Linked DNA regions of Macaca fascicularis. The protein of the gene in region 1 interacts with the protein of each later gene in a pairwise test. Links are inferred from orthologs where the notes say so. Each region holds a gene or a part of one and is shown in the gene's direction. Other genes may lie near its edges. The genes, in order: GPR25, FATE1, VAPB and CREB3L1.

The links.
Region 2: the proteins of GPR25 (region 1) and FATE1 interact in binary tests that used the Homo sapiens proteins (3 or more experiments, as listed by UniProt). The two-hybrid records come from large-scale screens. The link is inferred for Macaca fascicularis from reciprocal best matches to the Homo sapiens genes GPR25 and FATE1.
Region 3: the proteins of GPR25 (region 1) and VAPB interact in binary tests that used the Homo sapiens proteins (3 or more experiments, as listed by UniProt). The two-hybrid records come from large-scale screens. The link is inferred for Macaca fascicularis from reciprocal best matches to the Homo sapiens genes GPR25 and VAPB.
Region 4: the proteins of GPR25 (region 1) and CREB3L1 interact in binary tests that used the Homo sapiens proteins (3 or more experiments, as listed by UniProt). The two-hybrid records come from large-scale screens. The link is inferred for Macaca fascicularis from reciprocal best matches to the Homo sapiens genes GPR25 and CREB3L1.

Annotation. Positions count from the first base shown.
Region 1 is NC_088375.1:58,607,498-58,615,259, forward strand, and holds GPR25 (probable G-protein coupled receptor 25), read left to right. Parts: upstream 1-3,471; 5' UTR 3,472-3,528; coding exon 3,529-4,614; 3' UTR 4,615-7,465; downstream 7,466-7,762. UniProt on the Homo sapiens protein: Orphan receptor.
Region 2 is NC_088395.1:157,776,625-157,784,506, forward strand, and holds the start of FATE1 (fetal and adult testis-expressed transcript protein), read left to right. Parts: upstream 1-3,527; 5' UTR 3,528-4,497; coding exon 4,498-4,603; intron 4,604-5,645; coding exon 5,646-5,773; intron 5,774-7,882. UniProt on the Homo sapiens protein: Involved in the regulation of endoplasmic reticulum (ER)-mitochondria coupling. Negatively regulates the ER-mitochondria distance and Ca(2+) transfer from ER to mitochondria possibly implicating it in the regulation of apoptosis.
Region 3 is NC_088384.1:114,482,471-114,489,599, forward strand, and holds part of VAPB (vesicle-associated membrane protein-associated protein B/C), read left to right. Parts: intron 1-4,138; coding exon 4,139-4,291; intron 4,292-7,129. UniProt on the Homo sapiens protein: Endoplasmic reticulum (ER)-anchored protein that mediates the formation of contact sites between the ER and endosomes via interaction with FFAT motif-containing proteins such as STARD3 or WDR44.
Region 4 is NC_088388.1:19,539,025-19,546,153, reverse strand, and holds part of CREB3L1 (cyclic AMP-responsive element-binding protein 3-like protein 1), read left to right. Parts: coding exon 1-16; intron 17-153; coding exon 154-212; intron 213-381; coding exon 382-450; intron 451-3,845; coding exon 3,846-3,945; intron 3,946-4,921; coding exon 4,922-5,048; intron 5,049-7,129.

The DNA of each region.
Region 1 (7,762 bases):
GCTTGTGCTAATCACCCTGATGGGTAGAGAGAAGCTCCTCCTCGCCCTGAGAATTTCATAATCCCATGGGCAAGGCAAGACGGAGCCACGTAACAGTCGCCCTGGTGGCTCCAGCAGTGCAGAGAGAGGAAGTCCTATTAGGGATGGAGGTCAGAGAAGGCTCCCAGGGGTGGGATGTGTACACAGCCTGTAAGGGTGTGTTTCTATTAGTTGACTTGTGTGTGATCCTGTGGGGAGTCCTCCTGAAGGGTGAAAGAGCAGTCTCCTGCAGTTGGCCTTGGTCACTGAAACCGGGCTGGGCACCCCGGGAGGCCAGGCCCAAGGCAGTGTCCCTGGCTCTGACCTTTGCTGCTGCTTCCCATCCAGACAAGTTCAGTAAGGCCCACGGACAGCACCCAGGCCTCAGCAGAGAAAATTCAGCATATGCTGTGGGCCACAGACTTCCCTTGGGTGTGAGATGATGGCCCAGGAAGCAAGTAGCTCTGTGTTTTTTTAAATGAACAACCTACTTCTACTTCCCTTCAACCCCCTTCCTATACTTCCCTCTTGGTCTGCTTGCCCCATTCTTTGTTTTCACCTGGCGGCTTTTCTGCTGTTCATCTCTAGCTTTCAGGATCACTCACACTCTCTGAGCCCCAGACTGACGTGCGCCCAAGGGGGTAAAGTCCAGCAATACCGGGTCTGTCTCTGATGGTCTCTGGGCTCTGGCAGGCAAGCACTGCCCCTGCTAGCCTTCTAGGGGAGGAGGCTGCAGCCCCCTACTCCACCCCGGATGTGGGCACCACTCACCAGCAACCACATGCTCAGACATTAGAAAAAAGGCTCTGGGGTGGGTCTTCAGGGGAAAACCAAGCCCAGAGGCCGAAATGCCTTTGAAGGGAAGGTCCAGACCATTCATTCCCTAGCCTCTTCTCTTCCCTGTGCATCTTGTAATTGGTGTGGGAAAAATTCTTGACAGGTGCAGCCTGAACACTGCATACCCAACTCTCTGTGAGCTCTAGGACCATTTTCTTTTGAGATGGAGACTCACTCTTTCACCCAGGTGGGAGTGCAGTGGCTTGGATCTCAGCTCACTGCAACCTCTGCCTCCCGGGTTCAAGCGATTCTCCCACCTCAGCCTCCTGAGTAGCTGGGACTGGTGTGTGCCACCATGCCTGGCTAATTTTTGTAGTTTTAGTAGAGACGGGGTTTCACCATGATGGCCAGGCTGGTCTCGATCTCCTGACCACAAGTGATCTCCCCGCCTTGGCCTCCCAAATTGCTGGGATTACAGATGTGAGCCACTGCGCCCGGCCTCTAAGACCATTTTCCAAATCCTTCCTGGGGATCTCCGTGTGCTAGAGGGACCCCAAGTGAGGGTGACCTTATGTCCCAGTTTGCCCAAAATAGTCCTGGTTTATGGCCCAGGTTAATTCTCATAGTGCCCCTTTCACTCTCAGAAACATCCTGATTTAGATGATAAATTATTTCATGACTACCTCAAACCAACATCAAACTGAACACATACGCACATGCGCCTCACTGTTCTTGGCAGTTAAGGGGACAGTGTCCATATGGTCCCTAAGCGGAGAAACCCCAGGCTTATCTTTGACTCTTCTTTGTGAGACCTATGATGCTACAATTACCTCCTGAATACATCCTCTCCTTTCTGTTCCCACTGCTCATGATCTATTTCAGACACAAATAATTACAACCTACGGTGGGGTCTCCCTGGCTTGAGTCTCTCCCTTCTCCACAGTTCTGCCAGTGATCTTTTCAAAACACAGATTAATGCCTCCTGACTCCCCATGACCTATAGATTGAAATCCAAATCCCTTCATGATTCCTCCTGCTTCATCTCCTGTCCCCACTTTCCTACCCTAGGCTCTGGGAGACTGCTTGTCCCCTGAAAAGCCCACATTCCTACTCATTTCAGTATACTTGTTCCCTTCACTCCCTCCTCCGAGTCTGACCCTTTCTTCTCTTTTCTGCTGCTCTTATTTGACTTTCAGCTCATTCCTGGGACTGATCTCAAGTGTCATCTCCTAGAAGGCCTTTTCTGATTTAGCTTTCCCGTCAAAAATAATCACTCCCCCTCCACTAAACCCTAAGAGGGCTTGGCTTTTAACATTTACTACAATTTGGACTCCCGGCATGTCGGCCATTGCACATTCTGCTTATGTAACCATCTCTCCTGCCTATGCAATAAACTGCTAAGGCCAAGAATGGCATCTCTCGCAGTGCCTGAAACAGTGCCTGCTTCATGGAGGAGTTCATTGTTAACAAGTCTGAATCGAACAAAATTGATAATCCACCTCAAATTTTCCACACCAGGTTGCCCGGCACATCAGCCACTCATTCCTGGGGACACTGGGGACAGACTCAGAGGGCACTGTGACATCAGTTCCACCACAATATCTTGTGGAAGGGATATCTGCTAAGAAGAATTCAGATGTAATTGGCTGCATGCCTCCTTCAGGAGGAAGAGCAAGCATTCCCTCCCCCATCCTCTCCTCCTAAGGGCCCACCGCCCACTCAGGGTCAGACTTCATTCCCCCTCTTCTTTAGGTATCCTCCCCTTACTCTCAGTTTCTCATTTCACAAAGGATCTTGCTGCCTCCAAGCTCCTGACTCATAATTTAGGACAACTAATCTGGTGTTTCATTAGGTGTCATCTTTTGAACTGAGCTTACATCTGCGTCTGGCTTAATAGATAGCTTTTTTAGGCTGGGAGAAGACAGGGAAGAGGCAGATGTGAATCCCAGGCTTGGCCCCTGTCCAGCAGGATGATCTGACTACACCCCTTCCTAGATGCCTTAAAACCCTTCCACTCCGCTTCATGAGGACCTGTTTGGGTCAGAGAAGCCACTCACAGGGTGAAGACACAAACCCCACATTTCAGGATGCTAACAACGGTTTGAGTGCCCAGGGCGGGCTCCCCGACCCACCCAGATCTGCTGTGTCCCGGCAGTGGACTCTTTCCTAGGGAACAGGTGGATTTGGGGGGGGGGGGGCGTGCCTTAGGCCCCATACTCATAAAATCCCCTGTCTTCTCCCCTCTAAAACAGAGAAAACAGCAGCCGGTGGGTGCAGGTGGGAAGGGGTGAGGTGGAGGCTGAGAAGAGATTAGGGCTCTCTGGCACCCACCACCTCTTGCAACACGACCCTGAGGCAGTGGGGCAAGTATCCCGATTTCACGAACAAAGAAACTGAGCAACTAATAGAGGAATGGGCCACGCTCCTACTGGGAGGCGGGGCAGGTCTCCCAGCCCTGAGGACTTTTCCTCCCAAGACTTAGTTGTGAAGCCCCTTTTGCCTATTACCCCTCGGGTCAGCCCCAAATCGGAGGCCACCATCTCTCCCACAGGAGCCTGCCCCTCCCACCCCATCCCCTCCTCCCTCCTGTCTTTCCTGCCCACCCATTTGCTCGAGCTGGGGTGGCAGGAAGGGAGGTGCACGACACGGGCATGAAGAGCAAACCCCCTCCTGCTCAGAGCTGCTGCCGCCTGAGCCCAGGGCTGCACCCAGCGCAGGCCTCGTGGCCAGGCCATGGACCCCACAGAGCCCTGGAGTCCCAGCCCGGGGTCAGGGGCCTGGGACTACTCGGGATTGGACGACCTGGAGGAGCTGGAGCTGTGTCCGGCCGGGGACCTGCCCTACGGCTATGTCTACATACCTGCACTCTACCTGGCGGCCTTCGCCATGGGCCTGCTGGGCAACGCCTTCGTGGTGTGGCTGCTGGCCAGGCGGCGCGGCCCACGGCGGCTAGTGGACACCTTCGTGCTGCACTTGGCGGCCGCTGACCTGGGCTTAGTGCTCACACTGCCGCTGTGGGCCGCGGCGGCGGCGCTAGACGGCCGCTGGCCGTTCGGCGAGGGCCTCTGCAAGCTCAGCAGCTTCGCGCTGGCGGGCACGCGCTGCGCGGGCGCACTGCTGCTGGCTGGCATGAGCATGGACCGCTACCTGGCCGTGGTGAAGCTGCTCGAGGCGCGGCCCTTGCGCACCCCGCGCTGCGCGCTGGCCTCGTGCTGCGGCGTCTGGGCCGTGGCGCTGCTGGCTGGCCTGCCCTCCCTGGTCTACCGGGGGCTGCAACCCCTGCCTGGGGGCCACGGCAGCCAGTGCGGGGAGGAGCCCTCCCACACCTTCCAGGGCCTCAGCTTGCTGCTGCTGCTGCTGACCTTCGTGTTGCCCCTGGTCGTCACCCTCTTCTGCTACTGCCGCATCTCGCGCCGCCTGCGCCGGCCGCCGCACGTGGGTCGGGTCCGGAGGAACTCGCTGCGCATCATCTTCGCCATCGAGAGCACGTTCGTGGGCTCCTGGCTGCCCTTCAGCGCCCTGCGGGCCGTCTTCCACCTGGCGCGTCTGGGGGCCCTGCCACTGCCGTGCCCCCTGCTGCTGGCGCTGCGCTGGGGCCTCACCATCGCCACCTGCCTGGCCTTCGTCAACAGCTGCGCCAACCCGCTCATCTACCTCCTGCTGGACCGCTCATTCCGAGCCCGGGCGCTGGACGCGGCCTGCGGGCGCACCGGCCGCCTGGCGCGAAGGATCAGCTCGGCCTCCTCGCTCTCCAGGGACGACAGTTCCGTGTTCCGTTGCCGGGCCCAGGCCGCGAACACTGCCTCGGCCCCCTGGTAGCTGCCCCGGGCCGCTGGAGGTGGGCGACAGCGGAGCACCGAGAGGAGGGGAGAAGTCCCGGGAGGGGACCCAGATGCGCCTGTTCTGGCGGCAGCAAGCTGCTCCGGCCGGCATCGCATTGCCTCGCGCGCTGCCTGGACTCCCAGGGTCTCCTCCATCAGCTTCCCCGGAACCTCAGAGCAATTGAACTCCCCTAAACCAGGCTCCTGAGACTAGCTGTTCCCTGTCAGCCTGCAGGGTACAAGATAAGTGCTATGAGATGGAGCAGACAGCAACTCGGAGACCCGCAGATTCACCAAGAAGACAGAAGGGAAGGGGATTTCCTTCTCTGCCTCATTGGGAAGAGCACTGACCAGAAATCGAACCCAGACCCCTAAATGCCATTCTGGTTTCTGGCTGTGCTTTCTCCCGTCTCCCACAATAGCTTTTGCTTTCAGAGAAATACCTTCTCCAAGTCAGGCCCTCTGCCCTTCTCACTCACAAAACCCTGGTGTTGAATCTGGTGACACTTCTCCCCCTACGAAGCGGTAGGACTCACCTGGAAGTTGTTCTGGTCTTTCCCTCTCAACAGAAGGTCCTGAAATCGCTCACCAGGCGTTTCTTAAGGTCTCCACCACTCAGCCAGGAACCTCAAAATCTTCTCTGTGAATTCATCTTTCTCAATAAACAGACACTCCTGCTAGCCCTGTCTTCACAGTCGTCTTTGCTTGCGCAGTGGGAGTGAAATGCGTATCAGGAGGCGGGTCGCACACTGGGTGAGACAAAACTCAACACAGTAGTTGAGGTTGATCTCAGGATGATGAGGATTTGGGGTGGTGTCTGGGAGCTGAATGCTGGCTGCACTCTGCAGGTGCAGTAATCCCATAGGAGGAAGCAAATCATTTATTCTTATTATTTTTAAGGACATTTCACATTTTGAAAGCTACAGAAAGAAAATATATTTATATAAGGGCATCTGCCAGCCGGGTGTCACTTCTGAGAGAAGATGTGTCATTTTGGATTTTCAAATATATACCAGGCCTTTTTTTTTTTTTTCTATCTTTTTTCAGACCTTCCATGAACTTTTTTCAGACCAGTATGAACTGTGGGGATTAGCCATTTTCTGACTCTGTCATTTCTCCTTTGAGGTTTCTGTAGGGTTTGGAAATTCACTGTTTATACTTTTGATTTAAGAGGATTTGGCCTAAAGACATTTCAGTCAGTGTACATCCTAGCCAGATCCCCACAGGCCAGTCTGGATGTTGCAAGCTCTGGGGGAAAGGGTGGGTGTGCACGCGGATAAGCACCTCAGTGCTAGGTTGGGTCTGAAGCCTGGCATTCTGTCGCAGGCTATCCATCCCATCCCCCCATCAAATACCCCTGTATTCTCTTCAGCATTTGGAGCTGCTGGATTAGAGCAGATTGAACATCGGGTCTCCTAGATCAGCCTGCCAAAAAGTGCATTTCTGCATGTTCCTCCCATATACTCCAAGAGAGGCAAGCCTTGCAGCCTGTGAGGTCACCTCTGCCAGCAGGACACATTTCAGGCACTTTGGTGTTTGAGAGCTCGGTTAAGTCTTGGCACTTCTTATCCTCACTATTGCTCTCTGAGGCAAGAAATTATTTTTTCATGGGGCTGAGACCCCAGAATTTTCAGGGCAGGGAAGCTGACTCTGATCTGGGTTTGTGTGTAACAAGATCTCAGAATAGAGGAGGCACTTTTCCAGGCTATTGGGACTGAGTCCCCACCTCCACCCCTGCCAGGTTGCTGCTTCTGACTTACTGACTAGCTGAGTTCCCTGAAAACAGACGGGAAGAAAGAAGGTTTCTCCATGCCCTGGTGGGTTTTTGGCTCCCCTCTTGCAGTAGCTATTGAAACTCAACATTCCCCCTGCTGTGGAACTCTGTGCGGGAGAGAGAGTTTCGCCCTTTGTTTGAATAGATCACGGAATTGATCTACCATGTGTCCTTTGGAAATGTTCCCTTCAATACAGACAAAAATGAAAGAGGATCAGTGAGCTCCCATCTCCCACTGGGGAAGATGAGGCTCAGATTCAGCAAGGAACTGGTTAAACGAGCATTCCCGCATATGTGGCTGGTGGGAGTAGATTCCTTTAGAAAGCAATTGTCAATCTTTATCAAGAGCTTTAGAACTTTTCACATCCTATTTCTTTAAAATGTTTATACCCTTCGACCCTGTAGTTTTGCTTCTGCCATTCTCTTCTAATGCAACAGTACTAAATCTAAATTTTAACGTTTCTGCACTGATTTATAGAAGTTTTTTTGTTTTGTTTTTGTTTGTTGTTTTTTTGAGACAGGGTCTTGCTCTATCACCCAGGCTGGAGTGCAGTGGCGCTATCTCAGCTCACCGCAACCTCTACCTCCTGGGTTCAAGCGATTCTCCTGTCTCAGTCTCCCAAGTTGCTGGGAATACAGGCATGCACCACCACACCCAGCTAATTTTTTGTATTTTTAGTAGAGATGGGGTTTCATCGCATTAGCCAGAATGGTCTTGATCTCCTGACCTCATGATCCGCCCGCCTTGGCCTCCCAAAGTTCTAGGACTCCAGGCGTGAGTCACTGCACCCGGTGGCTGAGTTATAGAAGTTTTTAAAGAGTTAAACCTCAAAAGAAACCACTTTAAATGTCCAACAATAGTGTAATGTCTTTATTAAGATGAATGACTATTATGCAAATTTAAGATGTTCTTTAAAGAGAGATTGAAAAATGCTGACGATAACTTAAAAGGGAAAAAAAGGTAAAACTGTATCTGTTAAACGCCTCCACACACTTCAAGTCTGGAGGATGTAAAATGGTTAGCACTGGTTTTGTTAAGTAAAACAACATGCTTCATAGTCCTTCTGACAAAAAATGATCTTTTGCTCTTTTATTTCTCATAGCTCAAGTTTTGAACATTATATCTCTTTTCTCTAGGTGCTAACGGAATGCTGTCGATTTATTTCTTTGCTTCTTGCTTGTCTCTCCTGTCAGAATGCGAGCTCCATGCATGCAGACAGTTTTGTCTGTTGGTTCAAGGCTGTGTTCCCAGTGCCTGGAACATGCCTGCACATCTCAGGCACTCACTAACTACCTATTGAATGAATGATCATCAGGACCATGTCATGATATGAAATAATGTCATAGAATGTGAAATGTAAAAGGAAGGCTA
Region 2 (7,882 bases), on another chromosome or scaffold:
GATACTTTTAATTTCCCTCTCTCTGCTCACAAGGTGGCCTTCCTTCCCTGGGCCAGCTATGGTCCCTGCAGTTTGACCCTGTGTCCTTCTGTCTGTCATCCCTGCCTCTTTAAGGAGAGGCGGGAGAGATGCAAGACTCTGCTAGTCCCCTTTCCCCTTCCTCTCTGGTGTAGGGAGGGCTTTGGGGCTCCAGGGATGACCTCAGTACCAGCTGCTTCCAGGAGCAGGAAGGAGAATTGTTTATGGGTCCATAAGGTTCATTAACAAGCCAAGAGGAAGCTCTCAGCTGCCTGGAAGATCCAGGTGCACTCATTTGCTTGGGTGTGGGGCTGTAGCTGCCTGAGACTGGGCTCTGAGCAGGACTGGGAGATAGGAAGTCATCACACCCAATGGCTTTTTTTACTTTCCTTCAAGACATTTGGCTTGAATGACCTCTTCCATAAAGCCCCAATATAAGAAAGTGGTAAGAGCTGAGCTGCTCTAGATGAAGAACAGCTAGAGTTTGCCTTGAAGCCCAGGCAGCCCCCACAAATCTCCCTAAAATTTCCATGTGAAGATGGGAAACTGAGGATCCAAGCAGGTGAAGCAACTTGCCTAAGATATCCCAGTGGCAGGACTCTGAGTCACTCACAGATATGCTGACTTTGGGCTGGGTTCCTGACATCTCCTGCTGCAGCTTGCAAGGGAGGTGGGAACATGGGGCAGACAGAGCTGCGACCCTGAGCCGCTGGGAACTGGAGCAGAGTGCTCAGCTGACTGAACATCTGGAAGAAGCTAATGGTTGGAAGGCACTGTTGGAGGCAGGTGATCAGGCTGGCTGGGGGCAGGCAGAGAAGACAGACAGACACAAGGGCAGATGGGCAGGTAGGTAGGCAGCAGCCTGAGTTGGACACCTTCTCCGTGGGTGGCTGGGTGCCCTCTAGGTTTCAGCAAAAGCTTGGATGCAATTAACTGGATTTGTTTGGTCCCCAGTGGAGGCTCTGGGCTCACGATCCCCCTTAGGGAAAAAGATGATACGTTTCCTTTGGAGATACTTAACTTGAAAGGAGGGAGAGTTTTTGTCTTATTCTTTTCTGTTAATAAAATAGCTCTTATTTTAATAAAGATCCAAACCCTCCAGCAGACAGTTCATGGGAAAGAAATACAGAAGATCAATAAACATGTGAAAAATTGCTCAAGATTATTCAGAATTAAGGCAATATAAATTAAAGCAACAATGAGATAGATATCATTTTTCACCCATTATGCCTTTTAAATAGGTGCATAATATTTCTGTTGATCAGACTGGGAAGAAACACAGACTTTCTTCTCCTAGGTAAGGCCTCACTTTGTACAGCCTCTTCGGAGGCTCCTTTGACAATATTGGTCCCTTTAGGTCAAAATAATCAACACACATACCCTAGAACCCCACAATTCCACTTCTAGGCACCCACTGTGCAAACACATTTACATATGTGTGCAGAGAGACATGTTCAGGAACGCTCAGTGCTACATTGTTTCTAAAAGTAAAAAAGCTCTAGACACCCAAAATATCCATGAGCAAGTCAATAAAGGAGCAACGGGAGGCAGCTGTGTAGGGAAATGCTATGCTGGGCTGAAAAGAAACGAGGTAGATTTGTTCTGACACGGAGAGATCCCCAAGGCACCTGGTTCACTTGAAAAAATAAGTTGCACAATGGCACACATCTCAGATTTGTAAGATCTCATTTATGTAAAACACTGCACATTGAAAGCAGATAGACACACATACAAGCCAGGTATGTTCTGGACCCTTCCTTCCCCTATGAAGAAGCATCTCTCGAACCTCTGGGTGAGCAGGGCCTTCCACTGGAGTGTTAGGGCTCTGCAGTCTGTTGTCTGCAATTGGCCTTGTGCCATCTTCCTGGACCCAGGCACCGTGTAAGACTTGAAAGATCTCCCTCTGTATCGCAGGTGCTCTAGTCCTTCGGGCCCCTGAGGTTAGCACCCAGACTTTGGGGTAGGGGGCTTTTCAGAATGGTTGGAGTACGAATTTCGGGCCATTTCAAAAGGAGATTACTGTGTAAATTACAATTATGAAATTATAATTAGCTAACATGCTAAGAGACAAATTCAAAGGCACATTAAACTCTCTGTCACCTCCAAGTTGTCTTTGGCACTCAATCCAAGCGGGGAAGGCACGCTAAGGGGGTGAGATGTTGGGGTTTCTGAGTGGCCTTGGGGGTTCAGGGGTTGGGAAGGAATTCTCCCACCCTCTTTGCTTGGCTTTAGGTGGTGGATTCTTATGCCACCAGGGGGCAGTGCCTCCACATGCACCTGGACCCTGTGCTCCTGTGCCCAAGAAGCCCCACCAGGGTCAGTTGATAACTAGACAGAAATCTGGCCTCCATAGCCTGAGGCCCTGTGGCAAGCCAGTGCCTACACTACTGTAGCTTTGCTGACTTCTGAGTGCTCCTCACAATCCAGCCACCCTGTAGGGAGGCTTGTCCATGGTGGAGACTGACACCAAAAGAAGGGAGAAACTTGCTCGAGGTAAAATCTTGAGGTCATAGTGAGATAAGATTGTCAGATAGAATACAGGATATGCAGCTAAATTTCAATGTTAGATCAACCCATGAATCCTTTTTTTAGTGTAAATATGTCCCAAAGGTTAGTGTACAAGAGAGAATACTTACACTACAAATGTAGTATAAGTACAGATGTGTTGTTTATCTGAAATTTAAATGTACTTCGTATCTGTATTTTCATTTGCTCAATCTGGCAACCTTGGCTGGGCTTCCCAGGCTCCTGAATCCCACTAAGCTGAGCACACTCAGTAGTTTCTCTGCTCCCAAGGTGGCCCTCCAGAAAGCTCAAATTTCATCGCAGCTGCTCCACTAGATCTGGGAAGGGCTTCTTTGGGGCCCCCAGGAATGCAGGCAGGGCCTATATCAGCTCTGCTTCCCAAGAGCTCGGCCCCAGCGCTGGACAGGTGAGGTGGGGGCAGGGGACAGGCAGCCTCAGACCATGCTGCCCTATCTCAGCTAGTTCTGACCCCTTCCTTTGCACTCCCTCTCCTTCCTTCCTTCCTTCCTTCCTTCCTTCCTTCCTTCCTTCCTTCCTTCCTTCCTTCCTTCCTTCCTCTTTTCCTCCTTCCTTCTTTCCTTCCTTCCTTCCTCCCTTCCTCTTTTCCTTCCTTCCTTCCTTCCTTCCTTCCTTCCTTCCTTCCTTCCTTCCTTCCTTCCTCCCTTCCTCTTTTCCTCCTTCCTTCCTCCTCTTTATCCCACCTGACCCAAGGGCTCTGGGGGAAGAAGAGGCTATTTCTAAAAGGAACGTTTTATAAACCTGTCCTGATTCCTTTCACAAATAGCCTCCTATTCCCCCAGGGGCTCTGGGGTTGTTTCCTAGAATGAAGGGTTCACCACAGGTCGTGTAGCAATCAGTGTTTTCCAGAGAAACATAACTGATAGGATGTATATATGTATGTATGTATATATGTATATATCTGCATATGCACAAGTATATATACATTTATTTTAATAAATTGACTTATGCAATTGTGGGGCTGACAAGTCTGAAATGTGCAGGGCAGCCTGGCAGGCTGGCAACTCAAAGAAGAGTTGACACTGCAGTCCTGGGGTAGAATTACCTCTACTTTGGGAAACCTCAGTCTTTGCTCTTCAGGCCTCTCAGTTGATTGTGTGAGACCAACCCACATCATCGAGGATGTGTCTCTACTTTACTTCAAGTCCACTGGTTGTAGATGCCAACCACAGCTACAAAATGCCTCCACAGCAACACCTAGACTAGTGTTTGAAGGAGTCACTGGGGACTAGAACCTGGCCAGGTGACACATAAACCTGACCATCACAGTGGTCTAATCAGTAGGGAAACTGAGGGAGAATTGGGACTTAGAAGGTGCAAGGCCTGAGGCCCCTGGGAGTTCTAGTGGCTGCAGTCAGGTCCCACCTCTCTTACCCTTCTCTCCCTTTGTTCTCATGGCTCCTGCCTAGTCTGACCTACTTCAGAAAAAGGCTACCTCCCATGTCTGGGGACTCTGGATGGGGGAGGTAGGATATGCTCTCCAGAGAATCTCTTCTGAAGGTGTGGTATGGCCTGGATTGCTAGGACCTAACTCTGCTGTAGCCACTGCCTGGCTCTTGGACCCTGTGCCAATCCCTGTTTCTTCATAGAAATGATGGAGGGTAGACCCTACCCTTCCCCCCATGGGCTAAATATGGAGATTCATGAGCCAGAGCAGTTCTCACAGTCAAAGGCATGGAATTGTATCTCTTCTCCTAAGTTGCTTACAGAGTAGCAAGGAGAAGGCCACGGACCTAGCCAACAAGATACAATAGAAACAGAAAGTGCTGAGTCCAAGGCCTCAGCCTAGAGAGGGAGTCTTGCTCCACCCCCAGGTCTGACTATATCTTCCTTGAGCTCCTGTTCCAGGAAGAGGTGATTTTCTGAGTGTGACTCCTCTGTTCCTGGCACCCTGTACATCCTTAGCCATAGCTTACAAGTGAACAGCTGGTTGTGATGGCAGGAGGCCCTCCCAACACCAAGGCAGAGATGGAAATGTCCCTGACAGAAGAATTGAATCATGGACGCCAAGGGCAAAACCAAGAGCACCTGGTGATAGCGGGTGAGGATCCCCTAAAATACCCCTAGGCTACAGCCAACTGTGTAGATACATGTCTGTACCTGTGCATGTGTGTGTTGGGAAAGGTGCATGTGTGCATGGAAGTGTTTGCACATCTGTGTGTTGGGCGGGCTTTGAGGATTTGTGGGTTGATGGTAAGGGATCTAGGAGAAAAGGGATAGATGATGTGAGCATTTTGCCCTGGGAGGGAGGAGGATGGGAACAACATGTGTGGTCCCTCTGTCTTCCCCTTGTCCAAGCCACCACAGTGTCTGTTGCAAAATACTCAGAGGGCTCAAATTATGAGACCAGAGATCAATTCTCTCTCCCAACCCTCGAATTCATTTTCCTGCCATTTGGAGGAAAATCCAGACTCCATGATCTATAAGATTGTATCAGCCTCCTCAAAACATTTCATACTATGATATAGACAGAAAATACCATTTCTATAGCACACAAAGGGATCCAGATCACATTGCATTTATGTTTGTTCTTACAATGCTCCAAGCCTGCTTCTTCCCCAAAGACCTTGCATTTGCTGTTTCCTCTGTCTGGAATGCTCTTTCCCTCAATTTCCCAGGGCTGGGTCCTTTATTTTTTTCAGGTCCCTGCCTCAATTGTTGTCTCCTACTTTTCTAGAAGGAGCCCTTTCCTTCCACTATGTTACCCTGTTTTGATCATTTATGGAGCCTGCATCTCTCTGTCTGCATTTGCAAGGATAGACCTTCTGTTTTACACCTGTCATTCACTCTTATACACAAAACAGATGGTCAGTTCCTTGATAGCTGGAATCTTGTTCTTGGTCATTGCTCTCTAGATTACTGGAGAGTAACCTAGTCTCGAGCTGAGCCCTCAGGATTCTTGTTTAACTTTTGAACAGATGAACAAACTGAGACCTGGGATCAGCTGGTGGACAGTGGTTAATGGGTGCTGAGTGATTCCCAAGAAAGCTGGGGACTCTGTCTTCTTTTTGGTGTGTTTTGTGCCCAAGAAGCCCTGGTACAACTTCTATGGGTGCTCCTGGGGTCTCTGTTCTTCTCTCTAGAAATGATGGAGCATGGATCTCGGTCCCTGGGTGCCTCCCAGAAGAGGCAGAAGTTGGAACAAAAAGCTGCTGGCTCTGCTTCAGCGAAACGAGTTTGGAATATGACTGCCACCCGATCCAAGAAAATGGTACTGCATGGGGTCCTCAGCACATGTTGGCCAGGTTGGGGTTGGGAGTACTGGTTGTAGGGGCTGTAGCCTGACCAGGTCAGGCAGGGCTAGACATTGACTTGTGAGGAGGAGGAAGCTCCTGTATTCCAAGCTGGCAAATGAGGACAGAAAGGTCAGGGTCATCCTTTCCTATGCTTGGGATGCAACCTTGGGAGTTCAGAATGCCTGAAACAAATATTGCATGGGGAGTACATAAATATTTCACTCTGTAAATCCATTGTGTGAAATAACGCTTCCTGTATTTAAAATTGTGTGTGTGGTGCGTGTGTGTGTATACACACAATAACTCAGGTGAGGCTCCTACGCTTTCTGGCTGTTAAGAAATCCAGTCAAGTCGTCTGGCATGGTGGCTCATGCCTGTAATCTGAGCACTCTGGCAGGAAGAGGTGGACGGATCACTTGAGGCCAGGAGTTGGAGAACAGTCTGGCCAGCATGGTGAAACCTTGTCTCTACTAAAAATACAAAAATTAGCTGGGCATGGTGGCACATGCCTGTAATCACAGCTACTCAGGAGGCTGAGGCATGAGAATCGCTTGAACCTAGCAAGCAGAGGTTGCAGTGAGCTGAGATCATGCAACTGTACTCCAGTCTGGGCAACAGAGCAAGAGAAAGAAAGGAAGAGAGAGAGAGAGAGAGAGACAGAGAGACAGAGAGAGAGGGGGAGAGAGAGAGAGAGAGAGAGAGAGAAAAGAAGGAAGGAAGGAAAAGGAAAAGAAAGGAAAGAAAGAAAGAAAGAAAGAAAGAAAGAAAGAAAGAAAGAAAGAAAGAAAGAAAGAAAGAAAGAAAGAGAAAGAAAGAGAAAGAAAGAAAAAAGAAATCCAGGAAAGTGAATCTGACCATTTTGTAGCCAGTCCTTTTAAGCTACATTCGATATGGGTGAAGGAATGTTTTAGAATAAATAGTGGCTATACTGTTGCAAATGATATTGGGAAAACAGTCATTTTGGATGGGGAGGGAAGCCTGACTATTCTAGAGAATTAAGTGAGTCCCACAGTTCTGTAGCCAATCATTTTAGCTAGCTAAATTCACTGTGAGTAAGGGAAAGTTTTACAAAAATTGTTGTTATGCTGTTGCAAAGGCTGCTGGGAAAAGGCAACAAGATTGGAGAGGGAGGGAGGTCTGACTGCTCCAGGAAATCATGTGAGTCCCACAGTTCTGTAGCCAATTCTTTAAGCTACATTCATTGTGGGTGTTGAATCTTCTAGAAAAATGCTGGCCACATTGTTGCAAAGGATACTGAGCCATTTTGCAGAGGAGGTAGACCTGACCGTTTTAGGGAATCATGAATCCCATAATTGCGTAGCCAATGTTTTTCACCACATTCAGGTGGATGAGGGAAAGCGTTAGAAAATGGTGGTTTTACTGTTACCACAGTAAAGTTTGAAAGTTATTGGGGGGCAATAAGGTTGGAGAGGGAGGGAGACTTGATTGCTGAAATGATTTATTGGGTAGCCCCAGTGAAGAATGAGAAAAAAAGCTTGCAAGTTAGAGATTTCCTGGGAATAAAAATAAGTCAAATATTGAGTTGGCTTTTTGTGTCCAAAGACAGAAGCCAAATCAAGTTGCTCCAGGAAGTCAGGCTCCTGCAAGCCACCAACGTCCCTGAGACTAGAGGACAGGCTGGGCAGGCTACTTTACTGATCATTCCTTTCTTCAGGGGTCCCAGCTGCCAATGCCCAGAATGCTGAGAGAATCAGGCCATGGGGATGCCCATCTCCAGGAGTACCCTGGCAATTTCCAAGGCATGCGTTTCTCTGGTTTAATTAAAGTTGACTATGAGGGCTAGAGGTAGACTGTTTGAAAATATAGACATTAAATTGAATTTATAAATTAAATTTAGAAAGAGGAAATCTAATTTATTAGTTCCATTCATTCATTCCTTTATTTTTGAATAAAACAGTTAATGGAACTGTCTCTAGGAGAACCATAATATGCAAAGGTGAGAAAAGTTAATAATGCTATCCTGCTGACTTGGAAAAACTACTTTAAAACTACATGGAAATAAAAATGACATTTTTTGAAATGATTAACAGAGAGAAGTTGGGACTTGGTGTGTTAACAACAAA
Region 3 (7,129 bases), on another chromosome or scaffold:
TTTAACCTCCCATTTCACATTTTAGATGCTTAGTTCCTAGTTTTGCAGACATTATCTGAAATAAGGAATAGAAGATTAAAAATGATTTAAAGTATATGCTGTGGTTCTAGAGACACATCATTTTTTTATCTCTAAAAAGGAAAAATTCTAAGTTTAGAAGGAGATTTCATTTGTAAAATTGACTCTGTACTTTATAAGTAGTGTTTAAATTCATTGGTGATAAATATGCATGTTGGTATAGTAAAATCCCATTTTTTACATAATGCTTTAATGGAAATGGCAGTTTTATGAAATGAAAGTGACTAGTAAAAATCTGAATGATGCTCATAAGCTTTTACATCATTTTTATTGAGGGTTTTGTGTATACTAATCCATTAATACAGGGGAAAAGGAGAACACTAACATAGTTTATTTCCTATAATTATTCAAATCGAATATAATTTATTTTCAATAAAATTCTTGGAGTAAATTGACCAGAGTAGGGAGAGGAAGGTTGGCCTGTTCTTACAAACTATCTTGATTTTTACCTATGGGACTTTGTTGTTTTACCAATGATGTTGTTTCATTGCATATATTTTCAGTATAGTTCCCTCCAGATTTTTACAAATAAAAGCCCGTGAAAGGCCAAGAAATCCCAAGCATGTAAAGACCTAGTATTGCAGAGGGAGAAATCTGGGATGTTTATTTTATCCTGTTTATTATTACAGATATTGCTTGTCTTTTAACAATTTAAACTTCCTTTTATGTGATTTATGTAAGTTGAAGCACCATTAAGATTGCTGTGTAACAGCAATTAATTGTGATGCAATGGATTAACCTGGGGAAATTTTTAAAAACAGTTAAATATTTACATTTACATTTGGCTTATTTTTGTAGAGTACTTTGAAGAAGAGGTCAGTGTAAGAAATACACAAATACTTAAATTTGGGATCCTCACACCCCAACTTCATAAGGGGGAGAGGAGGGAAGGAAGAGACTAGAAACTGAATTGGAAACTAGCAAGTATTCTGGATTTCATCACAGTGGAATCTTGCCAGCATCCTGGTTTGCTGCTCTCACTATACTTCAAACCATTTTAGAAAAAAAGATCTATGTATTTTTGGATGTTTTGGGGGCCATTATGAATTCTTGGCATTCTGCTCTGAAGATACTTCCATGTTTTTGAGGCAGAATCTTGTTGAAACTAGTCACTTTAAGCTTTGATTAAGCTTTGATTTAGAACGCTTTGTGGCCTGAGAGTTTCTGAATCACATTCAAACTGTCGTTGAGTACCTGTCATCCTTAGGCTTTATATTTGAAAGCTCACCCTAATTTCAGGTGTCTCTTTATGTCGTGCACATTTTTGTCCACTTTTTTCTCCCTTCCCCCAGTGTTGCGGTGCTGCTGTGCTTATGTGGAGTTCTTCTGAGTTGCAGTTTTTAGATGAGGGTCAGGGAGTGGATGTACATGGTGATTTGCTTGTGCCCTCATAGGTTTGTGTGTCCTTTATGCCTGTCTGTGTGTGTGTTTTATTGCTGCTTTGACCCTAGAAAATCAGAGCTTGCATAGCTAGTCTTTTCCCCCCTACTCTGTGAGTGCTGAAGTGATCCCTTCCTTAAGCAAGCAGAGAGACTTGGAGGACAGCTTTTTCTCCGTCTTTATTATGAGTCAGACTGCCTGTGTTGGAGAGTGGAAAAGGGTAGTCACGGAGAGTGCTGCCTCTATCATCTCCCCAGCACTGCTTCAGCACCAAGTGTCCTGTTTCTCCCTTTATGCCAAGAACTTGATGCAAGGATGGAGCAGCATCAGCATCTGGCTCTCCCTTACTGTAGCTGAAAATCCTTTTGGGCCACAGGTACCTGGCCTCCTTTGTACTCTTAGTTTTCAATGGGGAGCTGACTTAGAGTGTAGTGATAGAGTTGTTTGTGATAGAAAGGTAAGCAAATGGAGAAATTCTCATGGAGTGTTGCATCTGTGAAGATGTCACTGCTCGTGGAATGAGAATAGTGTTTGTAATAATAATTCACAAAACAATAGATGATGCAGTAGTATAGTCAGTTCTGCTGTAATGCATTCCTGGAATCACCACACTATACTGAATAGCTCAGTAAAAACCACAGGGCTTTTGAGGGAAGTGTGGTTAGGAGCACAGCACTCAAAGCCTTTGTTGGTGACGCATGCACAAAGATAGGGTGCTGGTAAAACCACAAATGCTACAGCAGATATGGCATTTTTCTTGAAAAAGACCCAAAGTTTGTCTGTGGATATGGACATCAGAAGAGTTGTTTTCTTGAAGTAAGGAGGATTACCTGAAATCATATGGAAAGTTGTAATACCAGGTGTGGATAGGTGTGGCTCATTACCCACAAGGTGAACTGAGGTATCCCGTAGGTGGTTGAGGTGTGTGTGCTTGTAAGTTTTCTGTATTTGTTTGCGGTTGGGTTCAGCAAGGAGCAGTTTTCTGTGTTCCCCTAGTGTTGATAGCAGACAAAATCACGCAGAAACAAATATGAAAATTGTTTATGCCCAGAATATCCCTCTAATATGCACATGAGTAATGTTGGATCAAATTTATGTTTTCAGAATAAGCCTCATAGCAGAACTGGCTGTCGTTTGATTTTGGGATTGAGTCCCATTTCCTTCCTTCCTTATCACCATTTTTGATTTCTTAATTTGTATTAAGGTAAGCCCATATCAGATTGATTTTTTTTTTTTTTTTCATGCCCTGAGCATCTCAAGAGTAGAGACACCAGCCTGAGATTTTAATTTTGCTGGAGATAATCCACACACGGGTGGTTTTTTTCTTGGTGAATATGTGGATTGAGACCTTTATTTCATGCAGCCACGGTGCTGGGGCTACAGAGATGGGTAAGGCATAATCCTTGTCCTTAGGAGCTTCGAGTCTCATCGAGAAGTTTTTCAGAACATACATTTGAATGACTTTGTTAGGTCAACATTACGTATTTGTTTGTGAACACACAAGCACACACCCTTTCCCCACCTTCACTTCTGATTTCCTTGCAAATATAAAGACCAGAGTAAAGAACTTGCCTAGAGGAAACACAGAAATACTTATCTACAGGTGAAAAATATGTAAATTTGAAAAGGTGTTGAAAAGGACCTCAGTTTTTGTAGCCACCTGACTAATAAACACAGAGATCACATGTCCACCATAGAGGGGTAAATGCAGAAAAGCAACTTTCAGAGTAATAGGAATAGTATTATTTCATTATTTCTTAGCCCCCATCCCTTGCACATGTGTGCATGTATATTGTTTGTGTAAACATAGATGATGTGGAAAGATCTCCCATATTGTTAATATTAGTTATCTCAGGGGACAAAGGAAAGCTTATTCCTGTTTATACATCTTTTATTGTTTGGTTTAAGAAGCATGTTTTACTTTTTTAATTAAAAAAATCTAATAAAGTAGGAAGTGAATAAATAATAGTAATAAAAAGTATCTTCAGGCCACTGAGCCTGTTTGAACCCTCCCGGTAGCCTCAGTAGTTAATACTGTCTGTAATGTTTCAGGTGTGGACTGCCCAGCAGGACTCTGAACTTCTTGCTATAGCCTAAGGTGATACAAAGTTTTCTGTGGCAACACTATAATGTTGAGAGTTTCTGTGTTTATAGACCATTAACACCTCAAAGTCTTTCTTCTATCTGCTCCTCTTGGCACACTGTGCTTTAGATAATCATTTTGGACCGAGTTTAGTCCTTTGTGCTCTCCCTGTTAGATTTCATATTGTTATTGTGGAAACCAGTATTTAGCATGGGTAAGAACTGGCCTTAGATGCAAGCCATCTGGTTACAGATCCTCACTACCACTATCATGAAAACTTGGACAAGTAACTTGTCCCCCCAAGCCTCAGTTTTCTCATTTACAAAACAGCAATTATCATAAAGTTGTGAGGGTTCAGTGAGATGCTGTATGTTAGAATACTTACACTAGGTACCTAGTGAAATAGTGGGAACATGGTAAATATTAGACGTTACTGGTAGTACATTAACCTCAGCTCATCTCTTTCATCCATTGGCATGTTAATGAGATAATTGTGGATCTCAAATCTTCCCTTAACTGTATTTATAGCTCTCCTTTCCACAAACCTTCTCAACTTTCCTCATGAGACCCCCAATCAGTCTCTGTCTCATTCTACAGGTCCCTTCACTGATGTTGTCACCACCAACCTGAAGCTTGGCAATCCGACAGACCGAAATGTGTGTTTTAAGGTGAAGACTACAGCGCCACGTAGGTACTGTGTGAGGCCCAACAGTGGAATCATTGATGCAGGGGCCTCAATTAATGTATCTGGTAAGTCCGGAGATGAGGCCTGGAGGGTGGACTCAAAAGGCCCCTGGACAGTAGATTTTCTTAAAGTTTATTTGCAGTGTAGCAAAAGAAGAAGATAGACTTCTCTCCACCCACCCCCCCATCCCACCCCACAATCCTCCACCCCACAATCCTCCACCCCCGATCAGAAAGCTGGGTCCCAGTCACCTGTTTTTCATAATTAATGCCTCCTTGTTTCAATGCTTACAGCCCCTTTGCACCTCAATAGTTAGAGCAAAACTGAAGTGATAACTTTAGACCTCACTTCAGAATGAGTTTTGTTTTCACTCCCTTGAAATTAAATCTGCCCTTTGGCAATAAATATAAAAGGGCTAAACAAACTTAATTTTACTTTGTGGGAGAAAGCTAAATGGAGTTATTTTCTTACTTAAGCTAAATGATTTCTGACATTAAGCTCATGCCATTTCCAATGATTGGCCACTGCACTTTACTGATTGTGGAACGCCAAGGGAGATGAGGGCTGAGGAAATTGGAATATACTCGAGGGTGTCAGTTTGGTGCATGTCTGATGGCTTTCCCTTCTGTCTGCGAGTGCATATATTTTCCAAAATCCAGCTTTTGAAAAGATGCTGGTAAAGTGCCCAAATTGAGAATTGGATTTCAGAGTTAAGGAGATGTCAGTGATGGGTTGGAGTTTAAATGCATTTTAGAAATGGAATAAACTTTCAGCTCATTAGAACTTCTCCAGCCAAGAAGGAGCTCTGGGGGAGTGTGTGTTTATCCTGTAAATATCAGGTGACTCACTGTCACAGAGGCTTCTGCATCAATAGAAGCTACTGCTCGTTTGAAGTGAGTACCTCTCTGGCTTTTTCCATGATAGATTTTGATTGTGATACTTTTGGCTATTCATTTGACACCTAAAAAAAAATGACTCACCTCTTCGGAAAAATATAAGGTGTTTCATTATCTGATCATTTCTGCAAACTCTTATTCCCTGCATCTGTTGGTCTCTCTCATTATGGTGTACCCATGCCAGCTCTCCCCCTGTGCTTCTCTGAGTCTGCAAGACCTGATCTGGACTCTCGAATCAGGTTATTATCTTGAAGTCAGGAGGGTGGAAGCTGGCATTGATTGAGTGACTTCTGTGTGCTGGACCTGCACATGTGCTATCTCATATCATTTCTCTTACCTGCCCTGTGAGGGATGCGTTTTTACCTCCATTTTACTAAGAAGTAGACTGGTGGTCATAGGATCATGAAGCTAGCAAGTGACAGAGCCAAGATGTGGATCATTCTGACTGGCTCTGAAGCCCATGCTCTTTGAACTGCAGCGCAGCACTCTGGAGAAAGGAAGGGACTGGGATTTTGGCATTTCCATATCCTCTGGATCCGTATGGTTTAAATTTTTCTGTTGACGTCAAGGGCAGCTGAAATCTTTTATTCCCCTGTTTTATCTACTTTCCCGCCTCGATTTCCATGCCCGTATCAAATTTGAGCAAATTTGTCAGTAGATGAAAATTACCAATTTTCACAGTAAGAACAGGGAACGCAGCATGGTTTTCTGAATAAAAGAATCTCAGTAGGTAGTTGTACAATGTTAGTGTGTTTTCTGATATAAAATATAAATATGTATGGGTGGGTGTAGGTGTATGTCTCTGTCTCTTTTTTTTTTTTTTGAGACGGAGTCTCGCTGTGTCTCCCAGGCTGGAGTGCAGTGGCGTGATCTCGGCTCACTGCAAGCTCCGCCTCCCGGGTTCACGCCATTCTCCGGCCTCAGCCTCCCAAGTAGCTGAGACTACAGGCGCTCGCCACCACGCCCGGCTAGTTTTTTGTATTTTTAGTAGAGACGGGGTTCCACCATGTTAGCCAGGATAGTCTCGATCTCCTGACCTCGTGATCCACCTGCCTCGGCCTCCCAAAGTGCTGGGATTACAGGCTTGAGCCACCGCGCCCGGCCTTTTTTTTTTTTTTTTTTTTTTAGACAGAGTCTCACTTTGTTGCCCAGGCTGGAGTGCAATGGTGCCATCTTGGCTCACTGCAACCTCCCAGATTCAAGCAATTCTCATGTCTCAGCCTCCCGAGTAGCTAGGATTACAGGTGTGTGCCACCACACCTGGTAATTTTTGTATTTTTAGCGGAGACAAGGTTTCACCATGTTGGCTAGGCTGGCCTCAAACTCCTGACCTCATGTGATCCGCCCATCTCGGCCTCCCAAAATGCTGGGATTACATGCTTGAGCTGCTGCGCCCGGCATCTCTGTCTCTCTTTCAGGAAGATCCATTGTTTCCCCATCATAGGAAGTTTTAAAAAGCAAAAGCAAACTCTGCCTTTGTTCTGATCTATGATTGCTTACACAAGGAAGACCAAGACTTTGTGGTTGTGGCCTTCCTTTGGCAGATGAAGTAAGGCATAGAGTGTGACATAGTCATCAAGGGTCACGTGGATGGTCATGGCAGCACTGCTATTTGAAGCTGGTGGCTTGGCTCCTGATCCAGTGCTCTTTCTGTCATACTAAACTGCCTCAGTAGTGTTAGAGGATGACCCCACTTATGAATGAATATAAAAAGTACCATCATTCTCAAAGTTTAATGTATTTGGGGGGAAAAGTAGTTGAATAATAAAATGTCCATGTGTCTGTAGACTTTCTTCCTAGATGAGACAAGATCATATCTGCACCTTAGAAAAGGGTTCCTTTGTTATTATTTGGTATTTATCCCAGTGCTTGAGGGGAACCAAGGTGAAGCCAGATATCATTGCATTTCTAGGACAGCCTTGCAAGTCAGCAAAGGAGACCAGCCCCATTTGCTGCAGTTGTATTGCTGAGGGACTACTGCATCATTTATTAGACGTGCATAGCTTG
Region 4 (7,129 bases), on another chromosome or scaffold:
GAAAATCAAGAACAAGGTAAAGCCTGCCACCCTGGGGCTTCAGAGGGCTTCCTTGGTGGATGGGCTCCCCTGGCATACCAGCTCTGAAACTGGGGGGCCCAGGAAGTGAATATGTGGCAGTGCTAACCCTTGTTTTCGGGCCTCCCCCTCTAGATCTCGGCCCAGGAGAGCCGTCGTAAGAAGAAGGAGTATGTGGAGTGTCTAGAAAAGAAGTAAGCAGCTTGGTAGGGGTGGGGAATCCATGCGCCACTCCCTCCCCTGACCTGCCCTCCCCAGGCCCTCCCTCATGGGGCAGCAGAGGCTGGGGGCACAGGGAGTGTGATGGTGGTGGGCAGGGCCGAGGGGGCTGCCCCTAAGCCTGTGCCTGCTTGGCCCCTACAGGGTGGAAACATTTACATCTGAGAACAATGAACTGTGGAAGAAGGTAGAGACCCTGGAGAATGCCAACAGGTGGGTGGTGCCTCCTGCATCCAACCTGGCCCCCTGCCCCTCTGCAACCCGTGCCTGGCTTTGCATAGCTCTGGGAGACAGGGGAGAGGAGAGAGAACTAAGTTTAGGATAACAGGGACCCCAGAAACACACCCTGTAGCCTTGGGCCACTTACATCCTGCCACTCCCTGCGTTCCCATTTTTCCTCACCTACTAGACACCTGGCAGGGTGGGGGAGTTGCTTAAGTGAGCAGGTGTTTTCAAACTGTGGTCCTCAGACCAACAACAACCCCTGGGAATTAGTAGATGTGCTTATTCTCTGGCCCCATGCCAGGTCTACTGAATCAGAAGCTCCGGGGGTAGGGCCCAGCGCCCTGCGTTTTAATAAGTCCTCCAGGTAATTAGGTTGCACCCTCAAGTTTGAGAACCACTGGTGTAAATCCTTGTTACTCAAAGCCAGTTGCCCCGGACAGGCAACATCAGCATCGCCTGGGAGCTTGTTAGAAATGCAGGCTGGGCACAGTGGCTCACGCCTGTAATCCCAGCACTTTGGGAGGCCGAGACGGGCGGATCACGAGGTCAGGAGATCGAGTCCATCCTGGCTAACATGGTGAAACCCGTCTCTGCTAAAAAAAATACAAAAAACTAGCCGGGCGTGGTGGCGGACGCCTGTAGTCCCAGCTACTCGGGAGGCTGAGGCAGGAGAATGGCGTAAACCTCAGGAGGCGGAGCTTGCAGTGAGCTGAGATCTGGCCACTGCACTCCAGCCTGGGCAACAGAGCGAGACTCCATCTCAAAAAAAAAAAAAAAAAAAAAATGCAGACTATCAGAACTCTCTCCAGACTTACTAAGCTAAAAACTGCACATTCACAAGGTCTTGGGTGATTCACATGCACTATGAAGTTTGAGAAACAGGAGTGTAGAGACAGCAGCGCAGTGCCTGGCAGGTAGCAGCCACGTAAAGTCACAGCTCTGGGTTCTTATACTGCTTTGCCATTTTTGTGACTCTGGAGAAATCATTAAATATCTCTGGGCCCCTGTTTCTTCGTCTAAATGGGGATGATAGAAACATTATCTCCTAGGGTCGGGCACAGTGGCTCACGCCTGTAATCCCAGCACTTTGGGAGGCCAAGGCGGGCAGATCACTTGAGGCCAGGAGTTCAAGACCAGCCTGGCCAACATGGTGAAACCCCATCTCTACTAAAAATACAAAAATTAGCCAGGTGTGGTGGTGCATGGCTGTAATCCCAGCTACTCAGGAGGTTGAGGGAGGAGAATCACTGGAACCCAGGAGGCAGAGGTTACAGTGAGCTGAGATGACGCCACTGCACTCCAACCTGGGTGTCAGAGTGAGACTTCATCTCAAAAAAAAAAAAGAAAAGAAACATTACTTCATAGGATTGATGTGAGGGTATTAATGAGATCCTGCGAATAAAGGACCCAGCCTGATGCTTGGCATTTAGGAATGTGCAATTCATGTTAGCTTTTATTCTTCTTTCATTATTTTTATTTATTTATTTTCTCGAGATAGGGTATCACTCTGTTGCCCACGCTGGGGCGTAATGGGATGATCATAGCTCACTGCAGCCTCAAACTCTTGATTCTTCCCACCCCCTCAGCCTCCTAAGTAGCTAGGGCCACAGGCACACACCACCACCCCTGGCTAATTTTAAGTATTTTGTAGAGACGGGGTCTTGCTATGTTGCCCAGGCTGGTCTCCAGCTCCTGGGCTCAAGCATACCTCCTGCTTTGGCTCCCAAAGTGCTGGGATTATAGGCATGATCCACCACACCTGGTCTTCTTCTATTATTTTTATTTTTAAATTTTTATTTCTTTCTTTTTTTTTTTTTTTTGAGACAGAGGCTTGCTCTGTTGCCCAGGTTGGAGTGCAGTGGCACAATCTCGGCTCACTGCAACCTCCACCTCTGGGGTTCAGGCAATTCTCGTGCCTCAGCCTCCCAAATAGCTGGGATTACAGACATGTACCACCACGCCCGGCTAATTTTTGTATTTTTAGTAGAGACAGGGTTTCGCTATGTTGACCAGGCTGGTCTTGAACTCTTGACCTCATGTAATCCTCCTGCCTCGGCCTCCCAAAGTGCTGAAATTACAGGCGTGAGCCACCACACCCTGCCATTATTTTCATTCCAAATTCCTGATAGTACCCAGCCATGAGCCTGTGGTAGGTCTTTAATAATTATTTGCTGGGATTAATTACAATAACCTAGACAACAGCCTTGATATGCAGCAGGTGCTCAACACAAGACTTTTTCCTTCTTTCCTTCCTTCTCCCTCAGCTTCTCCAGCGGGATCCAGCCACTCCTCTGTTCCCTGATTGGCCTGGAGAATCCCACCTGACCCCCCACCCCACCCCTCTGTCTCTGGCTGGGGTTCCTTTCTGGCCCAAAGTAGGTCCAGGCCCTTGGAGCTATTTCGCCACCTGCTGTACATTGTGGGAACTGCAACCCCTATGTGCCCGGTTGGGTGGAGAGAGAGAAAACATTTTCCCACCAAGCCTGTGCCGAACGCATTCTGTGTGCACCCAGAAGATTCCACACTGAGTGGGACCTAGTCCTCACCCTCAGGGAGGCCACAGTTAGTAAAGGAGACTGACGTGGAAATCTATAAATAAACGAAGTGCCTTGATAATAAAACAAAAACTCAGCAATAAAACAAAAATGGCTGGGCACGGTGGCCCATACCTGTAATCCCAACACTTTGGGAGGCCGAAGCGGATGGATCACTGAGGTCAGGAGTTCCAGACCAGCCTGGCGAAACCCTGTCTCTACGAAAAATACAAAAATTAGCTGGGCGTGGTGGCGCACGCCTGTAGTCCCAGCTAGTCAGAAGGCTAAGCCAGGAGAATCACTTGAACCTGGGAGGCAGAGGTTGCAGTGAGTCACAATCGCACCACTGCACTCCAGCCTGGGCGACAGAGCGAGACTCTGTCTCAAAACAAAACAAAACAAAAAACCTAACAAAAACAATAGCTACCATTTACTAGACACTCACTATATACCACGCACTGTGCCAAACAGCTCTTTCTTATCAGCTCAGGATGCTGGGGGTGCCAGGGAGGGAAGGTCAATGAACCTGTGGCAGGTGTCTGTTAAGCAAAAGAAGGCTGGCCTCCGCGCAGCTGGGGGTAGACCTTCCCTCCTCCAACCCTCTTGGCCAGGAGCATCACAGGGCAGGCCTGAGCTTCCACAGGGTGACCCAACCAGTCACCATGAGGCAGGCCCCAGGTGCCAGGCCACTCTGCAGAGGAGCCACTCAGGAGGTGACCTTTCCTATCTTGGCTGAAACGGGCACCTGGCGTGGAGGCCATGTCTGGAGCCAGCCCCCTAGGAGAGCTCCAGGAGGCAGAGATGCCTGCGGGGTCAAAGCCTGCCAGCTGACTGCTGTGCCCTCCTCAGGACCCTGCTCCAGCAGCTGCAGAAACTCCAGACTCTGGTCACCAACAAGATCTCCAGACCTTACAAGATGGCCGCCACCCAGACTGGGACCTGCCTCATGGTAGGTGTGGCTCCCTCCACCACAGGCCCACAGGAGGAGAGTTCTTTCCGAGGCTGGCATTTTCCAGGGTTGGGCAGAGCTTTGAGGATCGGTAACATCGTGGGCAGTATCACCAGGGTACACCATCCTGGCGCCTGGTGGGCCGGTTCTAGCTGACCCCAGCCTCCTTCTCCGAGCCCGTGGTGCCTTTTGCCTCACACCGGTCCCCGACTGGTTAACACAGTGTAGATGTGTAGGTGACTCCCGTGGCCCCAGCTAGGGGACAACTGGGCAGGTTCCTTGAGGAGGTGGCTTCCACAGGCTTTGTGCAGGGAAGGGCTTGGGGAGACTCAGGGAAGTACGGACATGGTTCTTTCTGGAACGGATGGCAGTGAAAAGGCTGAGGAAGCCCCTGGAAACCCGGAAGGCTCCAAGGGTGTGCTTCAGACCTCTTCCAGTCGCTCTTCCATCTTCTTCTGGAAATGGCCAGCCTCTTGCTGCCTAGCTCAGCAGGCCCCGGCCCTCTAAAACCCTCGAGCTGTCAGACGGCAGAGCCAGGCTATGGGCAGGGGTAGTGTGGGCTCCCTGGCTCTCAGCACCTCCCGCTAGCCAGACTCCCCAGAAGCCGGCTGAGAACGTGACGTGCTGATGTGTCCCCCTCCCTCGTCCCGGCCCCAAGCCCCGCCTGCACCTATTCCTTCCTTTCCTGATTCCTCTACCCCATAGGGTGACTCCACATTGGCCACTTCCCTCTTACTTCTAGCACTGCCTGTGGCGACCCCTCTACAATGGGCTGGGATGGCCTGAGCGGCCCCTGCCTTCCCCAGAGAGGATGGGAGACCCCACGTGTGGGAGGAAGTGGTCAGCTGGAGGAGCTGCTTCTTTGGGAAAACGCTGAGACTTTTGTGCCTGTTGGTTTGGGAGAGGAGGAGTGGGGTGGTCAGGGCCGCAGCCCCTCCTTGCCCCAGATCTGATGCCACTGTCTCTTTGCTACCAGGTGGCAGCCTTGTGCTTTGTTCTGGTGCTGGGCTCCCTCGTGCCCTGCCTTCCCGAGTTCTCCTCCGGCTCCCAGACTGTGAAGGAAGACCCCATGGCCGCAGACAGCATCTACACGGCCAGCCAGAGTGAGTGCCCACCTGTCATGCCAGCTCCCTGGTCTGGGGCTGCCCTGCCCCAGCCCCAGTGTCCAGGCAGAAGCCAGACATAAGAGAGAAGCCAAGTGTGGGGTCGGCATTATCTCATTCTGCCTCATTTTCCAGATGGGGAAACTGAGGCCCAAAGAGAGTTTATGCTTTGCTCAGTGTTTGTGGTAGAATTGGGACTAAAATACAGAGCTCTCAATGCCCAGCCTAGCTCCCAGAGAGCTTCAGGAGTGGCTTGCAGGAGGTGGGTTTAGGGGATAACAGGAATGTTCCAGCCCTGTGCCCCATGCATTATGGTGCTAGTGCTTGTGCGGCATCTGCTAGGCACCATCAGTACCTCATGATAGGGACAGCAAGTGAGTTTCAGTTCAAAGGCCATTTCCAGTAAGGTGGTGGTAGCTGCCTGAAACACTGTGTTAAGAAGGACCCTGGGCTGGGCACGATGGCTCACGCCTGTAATCCCAGCACTTTGGGAGGCCGAGGCAGGTGGATCACCTGAGGTCAGGAGTTCGAGGCCAACCTGGCCAACATGGTGAAACCCCATCTCTACTAAAAATACAAAAATTATCTGTGCATGGTGGCGTGTGCCTGTAGCCCCGGCTACTTGAGAAGGGTGAGACAGGAGAATCGCTTGAACCTGGGAGGCAGAAGTTGCAGTGAACCAAGATCACGCCACTGCACTCTAGCCTGGGTGACAGAGTGAGACTCATCTCAAAAAAAAGAAGGACTCTGAGGCACCATTCAGAATTGACAGGAAGGAGTGTCATGGTCCATTAATAATGTCTACCGTGGACAGAGGAAGGGTAGTGGTGGTGTGGGTTCAGATATCTACCGTTTCCAAGGGGGATAGTAAAGTACAGTGGTTAGGAGCATGTGGATGTTAAGTCCGTCGTAACTGGCACTGCCACTTGCTGTGTAACCTGAAGCATGTGTCTTAATTCATTTCTTCATCTAGAAATGAAGAAATTGTCCTAAGCTTTCATTTCTTCATCTAGAAAATGGGAGTGGCAATTTTGCGCTTACTGAGCCATGGCTGTGAGACAGGGCATGAAACAGCAGTGTCTGTGCTTATGAAATGAGCACACTCAGTCTCTTTGAGCTCACGGAGGAGAGAATAGCTACATCACAGTAGCTGGCAAAAGGAGAACCAGGGGAGGGCCCAGCAAAGAAGAGTGTGGATTTCAGAGGGAGAGAATCCTTCAGGTGGACCCCCAGAGGAACTTCCTGGCTGTCCCTCATCACTTACCAGTCAGTCACTTACCAATTACCACGTGTCTGACAGGACAGGAGGAGGAAGAGGAAACAGATGGGAGGTCAGAGGAGGGAAGATTAAAGAGTGAGTTTCAAGAAGGAGGGCTATAGCAGGGAGGATGAGCTAGACATTGAGGGCCTTGAGGGGAGGAAGCTGGTGTGGGGAGGGTTAGGGAAAGAGGAAGTAGAGACAGGGAGAATGAAAGCTCCTCCCCGGACACGTGCAGGCTGAGGAGGAGAGAACAGGGTGGTCACTAAAGGTGGGTGGGCAGCAGCAATGCAAGGTCTGGAGAGCCATGTGTCTGCTTTTCCAAGGCCACAAAAGCCACTGGAGGGAAAGGAGTGGAAAGAGAGCTGGGGTTGATGGACAAAGCCACAGTGAGAGGAGGGAATGAATGAACCCCTTGGAGAGAAGGCAGTGTGGGTTTTAGGCCCAGGACCTGGGCTGGGTGGAGAGGAGGAGGACACATCCCAGCAGGCAGATGGCTTTGGAGCAGGCTGGTTTGCAGAGCTGGCGCATTGCACAGTTCCAGGGACTGCTGTTCACACATACTATGAGGTCATGGCTGCAGAGCCGGAGGGGCGGCAGATCCCAGGGCCAGGCAGACCTGGGTTCGCATCCTCCTTTCAGGGAGGACAATTTCCCTGAGTGCCTAGAACTTCAGTTGCCTCCTCTGGAAAGTGGGGCTAAAGAAACTTCATTCCTGGCCGGGCGCGGTGGCTCATGCCTGTAATCCTAGCACTTTGGGAGGCCGAGGCGGGCGGATCACGAGGTCAGGAGATCGAGACCATCCTGGCTAACACTGTGAAAC